Zea mays: one gene and its partners. The protein of the gene in region 3 binds, or shares a complex with, the protein of the main gene of each other region. Links are inferred from orthologs where the notes say so. Each region holds a gene or a part of one and is shown on either strand. Other genes may lie near its edges.

Evidence for each region.
Region 1: DNA repair helicase UVH6 (region 3) and General transcription and DNA repair factor IIH subunit TFB4-like share a complex: the UniProt entries of both Arabidopsis thaliana proteins name them as parts of the 7-subunit TFIIH core complex. The link is inferred for Zea mays from reciprocal best matches to the Arabidopsis thaliana genes UVH6 and AT1G18340.
Region 2: DNA repair helicase UVH6 (region 3) and REX1 DNA Repair family protein share a complex: the UniProt entries of both Arabidopsis thaliana proteins name them as parts of the 7-subunit TFIIH core complex. The link is inferred for Zea mays from reciprocal best matches to the Arabidopsis thaliana genes UVH6 and AT1G12400.

What each region holds. Positions count from the first base shown.
Region 1 is NC_050099.1:247,477,369-247,481,609, reverse strand, and holds the start of General transcription and DNA repair factor IIH subunit TFB4-like, read left to right. Parts: upstream 1-1,307; 5' UTR 1,308-1,513; coding exon 1,514-1,544; intron 1,545-1,646; coding exon 1,647-1,735; intron 1,736-1,885; coding exon 1,886-2,156; intron 2,157-2,231; coding exon 2,232-2,287; intron 2,288-2,428; coding exon 2,429-2,466; intron 2,467-2,544; coding exon 2,545-2,590; intron 2,591-2,998; coding exon 2,999-3,052; intron 3,053-3,143; coding exon 3,144-3,212; intron 3,213-4,105; exon of another isoform or gene 4,106-4,241. UniProt on the Arabidopsis thaliana protein: Component of the general transcription and DNA repair factor IIH (TFIIH) core complex, which is involved in general and transcription-coupled nucleotide excision repair (NER) of damaged DNA and, when complexed to CAK, in RNA transcription by RNA polymerase II.
Region 2 is NC_050101.1:47,599,537-47,602,788, forward strand, and holds REX1 DNA Repair family protein, read right to left. Parts: upstream 1,762-3,252; 5' UTR 1,576-1,761; intron 1,114-1,575; 5' UTR 1,084-1,113; coding exon 1,049-1,083; intron 947-1,048; coding exon 769-946; 3' UTR 530-768; downstream 1-529. UniProt on the Arabidopsis thaliana protein: Component of the general transcription and DNA repair factor IIH (TFIIH) core complex, which is involved in general and transcription-coupled nucleotide excision repair (NER) of damaged DNA and, when complexed to CAK, in RNA transcription by RNA polymerase II.
Region 3 is NC_050105.1:91,196,062-91,200,361, forward strand, and holds the start of DNA repair helicase UVH6, read left to right. Parts: upstream 1-1,355; 5' UTR 1,356-1,580; coding exon 1,581-2,404; intron 2,405-2,547; coding exon 2,548-2,630; intron 2,631-2,725; coding exon 2,726-3,129; intron 3,130-3,218; coding exon 3,219-3,412; intron 3,413-3,699; coding exon 3,700-3,880; intron 3,881-4,300. UniProt on the Arabidopsis thaliana protein: ATP-dependent 5'-3' DNA helicase, component of the general transcription and DNA repair factor IIH (TFIIH) core complex, which is involved in general and transcription-coupled nucleotide excision repair (NER) of damaged DNA and, when complexed to CDK-activating kinase (CAK), involved in transcription by RNA polymerase II.

The DNA of each region.
Region 1 (4,241 bases), on a different chromosome or scaffold from region 3:
GGCGCCGCCATCCAACGACCACTAGCCATTCGACCATTTCCCCACCATTTGGTGCATTTCCGGATTCCCCAAGGCCCAAACGCAAGTCACCAAAACGGCAAAACTAGACAACCCGCCGACCGCCGCAACCCTAAACCTAAAGTCCTAAACGGCTAAACGCTCAGTCGCTCACACGTAGAGATGGTAATGGATACCCGAAACCTGAATACTCGACGGGTTTTACCCGATATGAAGGCGGGTACGGGATGATTTCTCTACCCGCAGATATGTTAATGGGTAAAACCTCTACCCGTTGGGTAGACGGGTATGGGTACGAGTTGGTACTACCCGTACCCGTCTACCCATGGGTAAAATATGCCCGCATCAATACCACTATAACCATCTAATAGAGCTCATCCTAGCTAAAATAAAACTCTTCTTTTACTATCATTTGTCTAGATACCAAGTTATGTGATTATATGATTTGTTATATGTGAAGTTGATTTTTTTTGCATGTTTATTTAATATTTTGAGTGATTGGTATATTGAAATTTAAGACTTTCCTATCGGGTTCGGGTTGCGCGACGGGTAAAAATACCCGCGCGGGTACGTGTATGGGTAAGATTTTATACCCGCAAACATATATGGGTAATCCGACAGGTAGATTTTTTTTGATAGATACGGGTATGAAATGATACTATCGGACGGTTGGACTGGGCAAAAAGAATCGGAACCGAGGAACCGAAACCGAACTAACCGAACCGAGGAACCGTTATGAAATTTGGTTCTGTTTTTCTAAGAACCGAAATAAATGAGACATTTTCGGTTCTGCACTCCAAAGAACCGAAAAACTCAAAAGTATTAGATTCAATTTGTTACATGTGTTTGTAACTTCGGATGTTGTGTTATCAACTTATGTTGAACCTCTAATCATCCATGTATTATTTATGAAATTATGGTCATTGCGCACTTGTGGTTGTTTATGGGGAGATGTTGCTGAAATTTGTCACAAAAGTTGTCGTTATTCAGAATTTTAGAGTGACTGTTATAGTTCGGTTAGAACCGAGGAACCGAACTGAAGAACCGAGAACCAAATTAGTCGATTATAGTTTTTTTTATCTTACTATTTCGGTTCTAGTTTTTAAAGGACCGAATTTCTACAAGAACCGATGAACCGAACCGAATAACCGAACGCCCGGTCCTACCGGACGGGTATGCCCGTTGCCATCCCCACACGCCGCTCACACGCCGCCTCCCTCGTTCTCGCGCCGACGCTCGCCGCACCGCCTCCCTCTCCCTCGTTGTCGCGCCGCCTCCCTGTCCCTCGTTCTCGAGCCGCCACACCGCCTCCCCAGCCGGCCAGGTAACACACGGCGGCTCTTCCCTGCTGGGCTTCGGAGCTGCCAGTCTGCCACGCCGCCGCCCCAGCAGAGAGGCGAGCACCCCCGCCGGCGCCTCGGAGCTTTGAATTGGCTGGGCGCGCGACCGGCCTCTGCCGCCGGGCCGCGAGCAGCAGCAACCCCCCTCGCCGGCCATGACCTCCGCTCACTCCAAGCTCTACTCCGGTGAGCCACGCGCCACTCTTGCATCCCCGTACTCCGCGATGCCCTCATGGTCCTAACACACACGCGCTCAACCCATCTGGTGCCACCCGTCGGCGCGTGCAGATGACGTCAGCCTCGTCGTGGTCGTCGTCGACACGAACCCCTTCTTCTGGGCCGCCGCGGCGCTCCCCTTCGCCGACTTCTTCGCGCACGTATGCAACCCTAACCCTCCATTTGCTTCCCTGCGCCTGCTTCCTTGTTCGATCTTCACTGGCGATTTTGTGCGTTAGATGACTCGTTGGTAGCGGTGCCCTGATCCGTCCATTGGGCCTTGGCTTGATGTGATATCCATGCCCGTGCAGCTGATCCACTTCGTGAACTCCCTCCTGCTGCTGAACCACCTCAACCGTGTGGTCGTCATCGCGGCGGGAGTCAGCTCGTGTGCCTACATCCTGGATTCCAGCGATGCCAGCCCCTCCGGTGGTGTGGCCGTCTCGGACACCTTCGACAAGGCAAGCCGCAAGGCGGAGGAGTTCATTGCACAAGATGCGCGCGCCACTGCAGGCAACGGTTCCGTTGCTTCTGCCAATGCCGCGTCGCTGCTCTCTGGGGCGCTGTCCATCTCTTTGTGCTGTATCCAGTCGCTTGAATTCCTTGACTATTGCACATTCACCTATCTTATTTGTGCTCGTGTTGCTTAACATTGAGGTTATTTAGATATACAGAGGATTTTCCGGTCTGGGTCTCGGCATCCACAACCTCGGGTGAGTGTAGAGTTCTGAGTAATGTTTAATTTCATCATTTGTGATCAACAAATAATGCTTTGTTTGGCCCATAATTTGTTGTAGTCAGTATTCTCATACTTATTATAATGCCACGGCAGTTGATACTAACACGAGATACAGATTTTGTGCCTGCAGGGATCTCCAGACGGACCTGAACAGTATGCACGCATCGTCATCAATGCAGTTTCTAGTTTTTTTTCAGGACCTAGTTTTCACTTCATCAAATTTATGTGCAGATATGTGGCAGTGATGAATTCAATATTTTCTGCTCAACGTTCCATGGTATCACATCAATTGCTTAATCCATTTTAGTCCCATTGAGATTTATTGATCTTTTCGTTTCACCAGCCAGTCACTATGTTGTTACTTATTACTCCTTCTGTCCCAGTATATAAGGCGTAACCACCTCTGGCTCAAAGACCAAGAAATGTATTTAATTCTCTCTATACTTTTGCATCGATGTACGCATGTCTAGAGATAATACGCCTTGTATTATGGGACTAGAATAAAAAGTAGTTACACCTTATACACTAAGATAGAGTAAGTACTTAATATCCAAATTTGACACATGTAGTGGGTTCAGAAAGAGCAAGACATTGGAATGTGCCTATGTAGATATGCATCCATAATTGTTCCAAAACTTTAGCTACGGTGGCTTAATGACTGGCAACATTCTTACTAATCTCTTAGGTACCAATTGACTCTTGTATTGTGGGAACCCAGGATTCTGCTTTCTTGCAGCAGGTAATGCTCTTTAGTACTCATCAAATTCATCCACATGTTATACTGTCACAACATCCTCTTGCTGACTAGTTACCGATATTTCATTATGCAGGCTTCGTACATAACAGGAGGAGTTTATTTGAAGCCACAAGAACTAAATGGCCTGTTTCAATACCTTGCCGTAAGTTATCCAGGCTCCCTCTGCTGATATTAATATATCAGCTCATATAGTTCTATTTTTCCTTTTGGGGGCTTTTGAGAATGTATTTATATCCCTACTACTCTATAAGTCCTCATTGTAGGCGTCCACATGTGCGTCATGTTCTGCCTCTCGACGCCCGCCTGCCCGCGCGTCCCGCTCCTGCGCGCCCCCGCTCGTGATGCCCGTCCCGCCTCCCCGCTGTGGCAGCCGCCTTCGCGTCCACCGCGAGATCCCCGCCCTTCCCATGGAACCCCGCTCTGCACCCCTCCCAGAGCTCTGTCGTGTCATCCCCGCCCTGCCCCCCCTCGAAACCCCGTTCCCTCCGGCCCCGCCCTCGCCCTCCTCCCACTCCGACGCACTCGAGAAGCCGTTAGCCAACGCCGCCGCTTCCACCTCTGAGTCCTTCGTGGCGCTCAAGGCCCATTATCCCCCGCCTCCCCCTCCCGTGCCGCCTAGGTCTCGTTGGATAAGATGTCGATCCGGGGTCGATGAGCACTAGACCTTCTCCGATTCTCTAGCGACCCTCCCCCACAACCACGGTCTCGCGCGAGCTTGGTCGGCTTCGTCAGCGAAGCTAGGCAGCAGGCGTGGGCAGTCGGGCTGGTCCAGGGACGCCAGCTCGCATCTGTCGGTTTCCATCCGCAAAGGTAGCAGCAGACGTCGCCGTCGACTGTCGCGGGCACCGACGACCAACACCACCTTCCCTTCGGCCCAAGATCAGCATCTGTAAACGCCTTTGACCGTCTGTGCCTCGATCCAAGCTCAAACCACGGGCAAGCAAACACATCGCATCTCCAACCTCCTCGGTTCGGTCGGCTACCCCAGATCGACAGCTTTCAGGTGTGTGTTCCCCTATTTTTTTATTTTTTGGATGAACACTAATGGTTATGAGGTGAATAAAGTGGCGAATAAAGTACCCTGCTATGAGTTTGAGATAATTCAATGTTGTGTGAGAAAGAGCAAAACCTTGTCACACTTTGCCCACCTGAGCCAGCACGAAACCTTCTC
Region 2 (3,252 bases), on a different chromosome or scaffold from region 3:
TCCAGCTCGTGAAACAGACGAGCCGAACCGAGCTCGGTCGGCCACCGAGCTGCACCGCTCGGCTCGTTTCCAGCCCTAATCCTAGGGTTTGTTTGAGAGCAAGAATACTAGAAGGGCTTATAAGAGTCTAAAATTCTCATGTTATTCAATTTTGAATATCATTGCTCTCAAGCAAGCCCTTATGCAGATAATGTTCCTAGGATTACTCACCGAGGGAAAATATAGGGATCTCTAGAGGATTTGGATTTCCAAACTACCTGTTAGTGTGCCACCGTAGTTTTGTTGTCCATAGCAAGACAAAGATACATACAAATAAAGGCACAGATATACGTGACTATGGCCCTGTTCCAATCTCGCGAGATAAACTTTAGCAGCTTTTTTTAGCTACTTTTAGCCATTTATAATCTAAACAGAAGAGTTAATGGTGGTAATTGAAACTAAACTTTAGCACTTCAATTCATATAGCTAAAGTTTAGCAGGAAGCTAAAGTTTATTCCGTGAGATTGAAACGGGGTCTAAGCCCCATCTGGATCTCAAATTCTCAACGGATTTTAAGGACCTGACAAAAAGAATCCCAGAATACCACAAGTGCAGCACAGTAGCAGTGCCCTCTGCACGTTTATAGCACATAGCAGTATGATTTCAAGGCCACAGGTGGGATCTATTTGGCGTACTCGTTTCCGCTGAGGTGCTCAGCTCACAGCAGAAATAATACAGGCAACGAAAGCAAGTCCCAAGGAAGGAGTGTAGGACGCGGTAGATCCTCCACTACTGCGGCTTCTCGTAGCTGTTCTGGTCCCTGAACTCCCCGATCTTGCTCCTGATCATGTGCGCCACGTGAGGCTGCACGAACATGTTGGTAGGGTCGAGCATGTGCACGATGAACCTCTCCGACGGCGGCATCGACGCGTTCAGGTTGACGATGAACTGTGCCATAGGTACGTCGCTGAAAAATAGAGGGACGGACGGACGGCAACCATGTAAAGGCAGGGAGAGAGGGAGAAATGCAAACGAGGGATTCATTTTCAGCTGCGTCAGGAGAGCTTACCAGGAGATGAACAGCCCCTTGATCGCGTTAACCATCTTGCCTGTGCTCTGGACAGGGACAACTGCCTGGTTACATCGCCACACAGAAACAACGTCAGTTGGAGTACCAAAGAAGCAGCACCAGGACTGCAAACTTTTCGCACGAAAACGACGCGCATGAAGGTGATAGACTGGTGTCGCAGTGATTGTAGGATTGGTTGAAGGACAGAACAAAGGGTCAGCAAGATGCTCCACGTTTTCTTGCGCGCATAATCTCAGCGGATATCTTGTAATTCTCTGTGCACGCATTACACCGAACAACTACAGGGCACGGAGGGATTCAACGACAAACATAATAATCGCTTCTATTATTTTCGTAGCGGCAAGTAGGCCAATCATCAACCGAGGTCAGCTGAGTCGGAGGAAGAAGTGGCCCTCGGGGAGTTCCATGATCCGTCCCAATTCCCAACTCTCTTGCTCTCACCATGTCGATTCAGAACGGGAGGGAAAAAAACCAAACAAAAAAGTTCAGATCCGAGACGGCCTCACCGTTGCTTGGCACCGACGACGACGCTCGTCGTGGTCCCGCGTCCCTCCCGGCCGCAGGATTCAGTCCTCTCGCTTCGGATCGGATCCTCCACTCTTCGCTCGCCGGCGGCGCCGCAGCTCCTCTATCTATCGGCCTCACCTTTCCTCGCTTCTCCTTCAGCCCTCTTTGCGGCAGACGATAAAGATGCTGGGCCCGCTGGCTTCTTCGCCCGCCCACCAAACCCATGTTCACAGCCCACGGTCCGACCCATTTCTTGCAATTTGACACCGCAGTTTCCGTCCACAAAAAAAAAAAAGAACAATTAGATCTATACCATTAAAAGATCCAAACTTTAGATATATATCATGGATCACACATGTCATTGACTCATGTGGACCTATATATAAGTGAGATAGTAATGGTATGGATCCAAAGTGGTGATCTTTTAATGGTATGAATCTAAATTTCCAAAAAAAAAATTGCGTACGAATCATGGAACACCCGAGGGCCACTTCCTCCTCTCCTGACTCAGCTGACCTCGGTTGATGACTGGCCTACTTGCCCCTACGAAAATAATAGAAGCGATTATTATGTTTGTCGTTGAATCCCTCCGTACCCTGTAGTTGTTCGGTGTAATGCGTGAACAGAGAATTACAAATTTATGTCCAGCAATAGCAGAACCAAATTGTCATATGACAGTACTTAAAATTCAGTGAGGAACCACACTGTGTAACAGAATTTTGAAAAGGTGATGGTGAAAAACTTACTACAAATCTAGGATATTTTAGGTCTGCAAGGTTGCTGATTAACTAGGTACTAGGTATTCATAAATTTGATACTTAAACTGTCGTACTCATACCCAATAAATTAGATGACCTTAAATTGCGAAATTTCATGAAAAAGGAGAAAAAAATACACAAATCACTTCGCGCAGAGCTTCACACCACCACACAGCAAATCACTTGCGCATTTATTATAATTTTGGACAAGAACGTAGCTCATTTGGTGGGGAAGTAATTATCAAACAAAATAAAATTTGTGCGTGCAGCATGGACGTGGCTATATGAATGCACGGCATGTGCAGATGTGCCGCTGCCCAAGATTTGCTAATACAAGTGACCAAAGATGTGTTAGGTAGTAGTAATTGAGGAGACAAAGAGAGTGAGAGACCTGCGGCCAGCGGCCTCCAGCCTCCAGGTGAACATGACTGTGACGGTCTCAAACAATCAAACCTGAGGGGATGTGCAGTGTGCTGCACGGCTTGTAGCGGTGCAGCCCTGCACCCAGCACGCTGGAGAGCTGGTCTGCTGCCTGGCCCGCCCGCTCGAGGGAGATTGGGATTTGGGAGGACGAACGAGAGAGTCGAGTCGGCGACGATGACAGAATAGAAGCTAGTTTTCTCACTTTGCTGGTCACTTTATATATGTCGGTCATTGAGTCTTAATTCTATGGCCCGAATTCTTTAGTGCCTGTTTATATGGGCTCGTGAGGATTAGGGACGAAGAAGAGACTACCATACTCGTCCCCGCTAAACCTGATGGAGATGATTCTTTCTCATTTTAATACCTCATTGAAATAAATTGTAACTATCCCCGTCTTGTAATATCTCCGCGGGGAACGGGACTTCATTACCATCTCTACCTAGGATTGCCAAACAGAAATGACATCGACTGTGTGTTCAAATAAATCAAAATATA
Region 3 (4,300 bases):
CTCTCTATATCTCTACTATATTAAAATATGAGTTTCAACAGTCGTTCTGCGTCATCTTTTTACAAATAACACATCACATCTACTTCAAATTAACCTGTTGCACGCCTGTCCCCTTAACGGCAGCCTGGCACGGGCTCGACGCCCGCAGACCGCAGCTCTGGCCCAGGCACGACACACCGGCCCGTTAGCCCGTCGGGCCATTTGGTTAAATCAGCATAAAATGTTAAAAAATAGTGTCGAAGGTGGGGTTTGAACCCACGCCTATTGGAAGAATGGCGGGAGACACTAGGTGAAATCGTCTAACCAGTAGAACATCATACTCAGATGTTTTCAATATTGAATATAAATTGTACATGTGTATATATGCTTTTTTGTAAAATTAAAAATATATAATCGTGTCGGGTCGAGGCTACGGCCCAAGCATGGCACAACACTCATGTCGGGCTGGCCTAGACACTATTAAATGGGTCGTGCCTCAGACTAGCCCACCAGACACGACACATTTGATCATCTGTACCTTCGCACGATAATGATAGTACTCGACTCAGTTGTCACCACCTCGTTCGTCATCCTACTTCTTTTCTCTCTCCCCTCATGCCTCCGCCTCCGTGCCACCCCATTCTCGGCGGAGGGTGTGGAAGCAGACGCCTCCTCCCCATATTCGTCTGACACCAGCCCCTACACCGACCCACGCAGTGGCTATTGCACATCCATGAGGACGTTTCATAGCATGCGCGCACCATTGTTTTCGCCGCTGTCGGAAGTCTCGCTCGTCTTTCTGGCCTTCGCCATGTTCTTCCTCCCCAACCTGCTCCCCCGCCCACGGTTGCAGCCGCGAGCCGACCGACGCTCGTCGACACGAATATGGGGTGTGTCGGTCTTGCTCTTGGCCTTTCTCCGTGCGTGTTGCCGAGGAGGACACAATATTGTTGTGAGCCGTCGCAATAAAAAATTGTAAGATCTCTGTACGAGCCCAACCCAGAAGGTTGTACTTTAAATTCTACTCTAGGGGTACAAGGCCTGTTTGGTTCAACTTTTCTGAGAATCTGAATGTGGGGAGAATCTGGATGTGTAGAGAATTTGAGTATCGTTGCGATTATGTGCAAAGAAAGATGAATTTGTCTATAGGGCTCAGGATCTAGAAATTGACGGATTCCTATTATTGCAACGACTCAACCGATTATGTGTTTATATTGATTTCAGATGGTTTTACCAAAATTAATTTTATAGAAGCTAGCTAAAAAGTTGAGCGTTTAACCGTCCACAATAATTTTTGGTGGACAGAAACCGAAAAAACTGAAACAAAGAGGGCTATGAGTGGCCTTCCCACCCTTTGTATCGTTCATTCGTAGCCCGTAGCTCGCAGCCGACTCTGTTCTCTGTACCAGCCCAACCCAGAAGCCTATACTCGTTACGATTACGAGCCCACCAGCATCTCCTCTGCACGGGGGCATTCCACCGAGCACCTCACGTGATCTCCACCCCGCGGCGGCGGCGCGAGCACCGTCTCCGCCTCTCCGCTCTCCGGCGAATCAAACCCCTCCGGCGTTGCCCCTCGGTTGCCTTTCCCCTCCGCCACAATGCGGTTTGACCTGGATGGCCTGCCCGTGCACTTCCCGTACGCGGCGATCTACCCGGAGCAGCACGCGTACATGGGGGAGCTCAAGCGCGCCCTCGACGCGCGCGGGCACGCGCTGCTCGAGATGCCCACGGGCACCGGCAAGACGGCGGCGCTCATCTCCCTCATCACCTCCTACTCCCTCGCCAACCCGGCCCGCCCGCTCCGCCTCATCTATTGCACCCGCACCGTGCACGAGATGGAGAAGACCCTCGCCGAGCTCCGCCTCCTCTTCGCCCACCTCCCGCCCGCGGCCTCCCGCTCCCTCCTCGCGCTCGGCCTCTCCTCCCGCAAGAACCTCTGCATCCACCCGCAGGCGTCCGCCGCCGCCGCCCGGGACTCCGTCGACACCGCCTGCCGCCGCCTTACGGCCTCCTGGGTCCGCGAGAAGGCCTCCTCCGACCCGGACTCCACCCCGCTGTGCGAGTTCTACGAGACGTTCGACCGGGCCGCTGCCGCCGGCGACCTCGCCTCCTTCATGCCGCCCGGGGTGTACACCCTGGCAGACCTCCGCGCGCTCGGAAGGGAGCGCCGGGTCTGCCCTTACTTCCTTGCCAGGCAGATGGTCAAGTACGCCAATGTTGTGGTGTACAGCTACCAGTACCTGCTCGACCCCAAGGTGGCCAGCATTGTGTCCAGGGAGATGCAGAAGGAGTGTGTGGTCGTGTTCGATGAGGCTCACAACATTGACAATGTCTGCATAGAGGCGCTGAGCGTCAGCATCCGCAAGCAGACGCTGGAAGGCGCAGAGCGAAATCTGCGGCGCATCTCGCAAGAGATCGACAGGTACCACTCCCAATTGTTGGATATACTTAAGCCAGCCACCAATAGCCACTGAACGATAGGTCCTGTTTCTTTAGAACTATTCATCTTCAACTTTGTGATGGATAGTTAAGCTTGCTTTGCCAACTGCTTTATCTGGTAGGAAGGTTCAAGGCCACCGATGCCAATAGGCTTCGTGCTGAATACAACAGACTGGTGGATGGACTGGCACAGCGAGGAAATCTACCAAGTAAGCACTGGCCTTTTGCCACCAGTACTGCATTTCGCACTGTCAGCTATAGCCTTCTGCATATAGCTCACAGTATTATGCTTCTTGTGATGAAGTATCGGATGCTTGGCTCGCGAATCCGTCTTTGCCTGATGACATCTTGAAGGAAGCTGTTCCTGGAAACATAAGGAGGGCTGAACATTTTCTTGCTGTCTTGCGGAGGCTTGTGAGATTCCTTGATGGCCGGCTTGAAACAGAAAATGTTGAGAATGAAATGCCAGTTTCCTTTGTTGCCTCAATCCATTCCCAGGCTGGAATCGACCAAAAAATGCTGAGGTTTTGTTATGACCGGCTACACTCCCTAATGATGACATTAGAGATAACTGATACAGATGAGTTCATGCACATACAGACCATATGTGACTTTGCCACACTGATTGGAACTTATACACGGGGCTTTTCTATTATAATAGAGCCGTATGATGATAGAATGCCTGATATTCGTGATCCTGTTATTCAGGTACCCAGACTACTCTTTGTGATCATGCTGAAATTGTATACACACTCTGCTTCTTTAGTGTGCTACTAATGAACTCATTTGTTCTGCAGCTGAGTTGCCATGATGCTTCACTCGCAATAAGACCTGTTTTTGATCGTTTCGAAACGGTTGTGATCACTTCTGGAACTCTCAGCCCAATAGATCTTTACCCTCGTCTCTTGAATTTTAATCCTGTCATAAGCAGAAGCTTCACCATGTCCTTAACAAGAGATTGTATTTGTCCCATGGTCTTGACCCGAGGAAGGTATGAGCTGGTCCCACGCGAACTTCATATTTCAAAATCTACTGTACTGTAGCATGACACTTATGTTAAGCATGGCACTTATGTTAGTCTTTAAATGCTAGCATTGTCAACATATTCTTAGGTTTGGAAATGCTAACACTGTCTTGCGTATACATGATACATTTTTATTCCTGAGAATCATATGACACTTATGTTAAGCTTTTATAACATCTTTAGTTGTTTCCAACATTTCATATTACTGGTAGCATTGTACACTGTGTAAACACCAACCATTCCATCATCTTCAGTGATCAGCTACCTGTGAGTACAAAGTTCGATATGCGTAGTGATCCTGGTGTTGTGAGGAATTATGGCCGCCTCTTGCTGGAAATGGCTTCTGCTGTTCCAGATGGCATAGTTTGCTTTTTTGTCAGTTATTCCTATATGGATGGCATTGTCAACAGCTGGCACGAAATGGGAATTCTGCAGGTTATTTCTTTCACTTGTAAATTTCTTTCTCATATAAACCCTACAATTAATATAGATATGGCAATGAGGGATGTGTCTAATCGTGTAACACCTATGCAACTCAGCTAAGTTCATAAATCGTCCATATCTGTTAGATAATTGGGCATGTCCTCTGGAACATCATCGGTTTATAGTAAGTATATGAAATGGTGTCTAAGCATCTAATTCCATATTGTTGTCTGTTTTAGATTTTCCATTCAACTATCTATATTGATAATAACTTAATAAGACTATAAGTCTATAAGAGTCTCAAGTTGCATTAAGACTCACTCCTGTAGACACTGTCAAATTATTTATTACATCGGCAACATGCATAATTGCATATGGAACTGGATAGGCTGCTTTAAGTCTTTCCTTTGGTTCTAGATAGATGCTATCTAG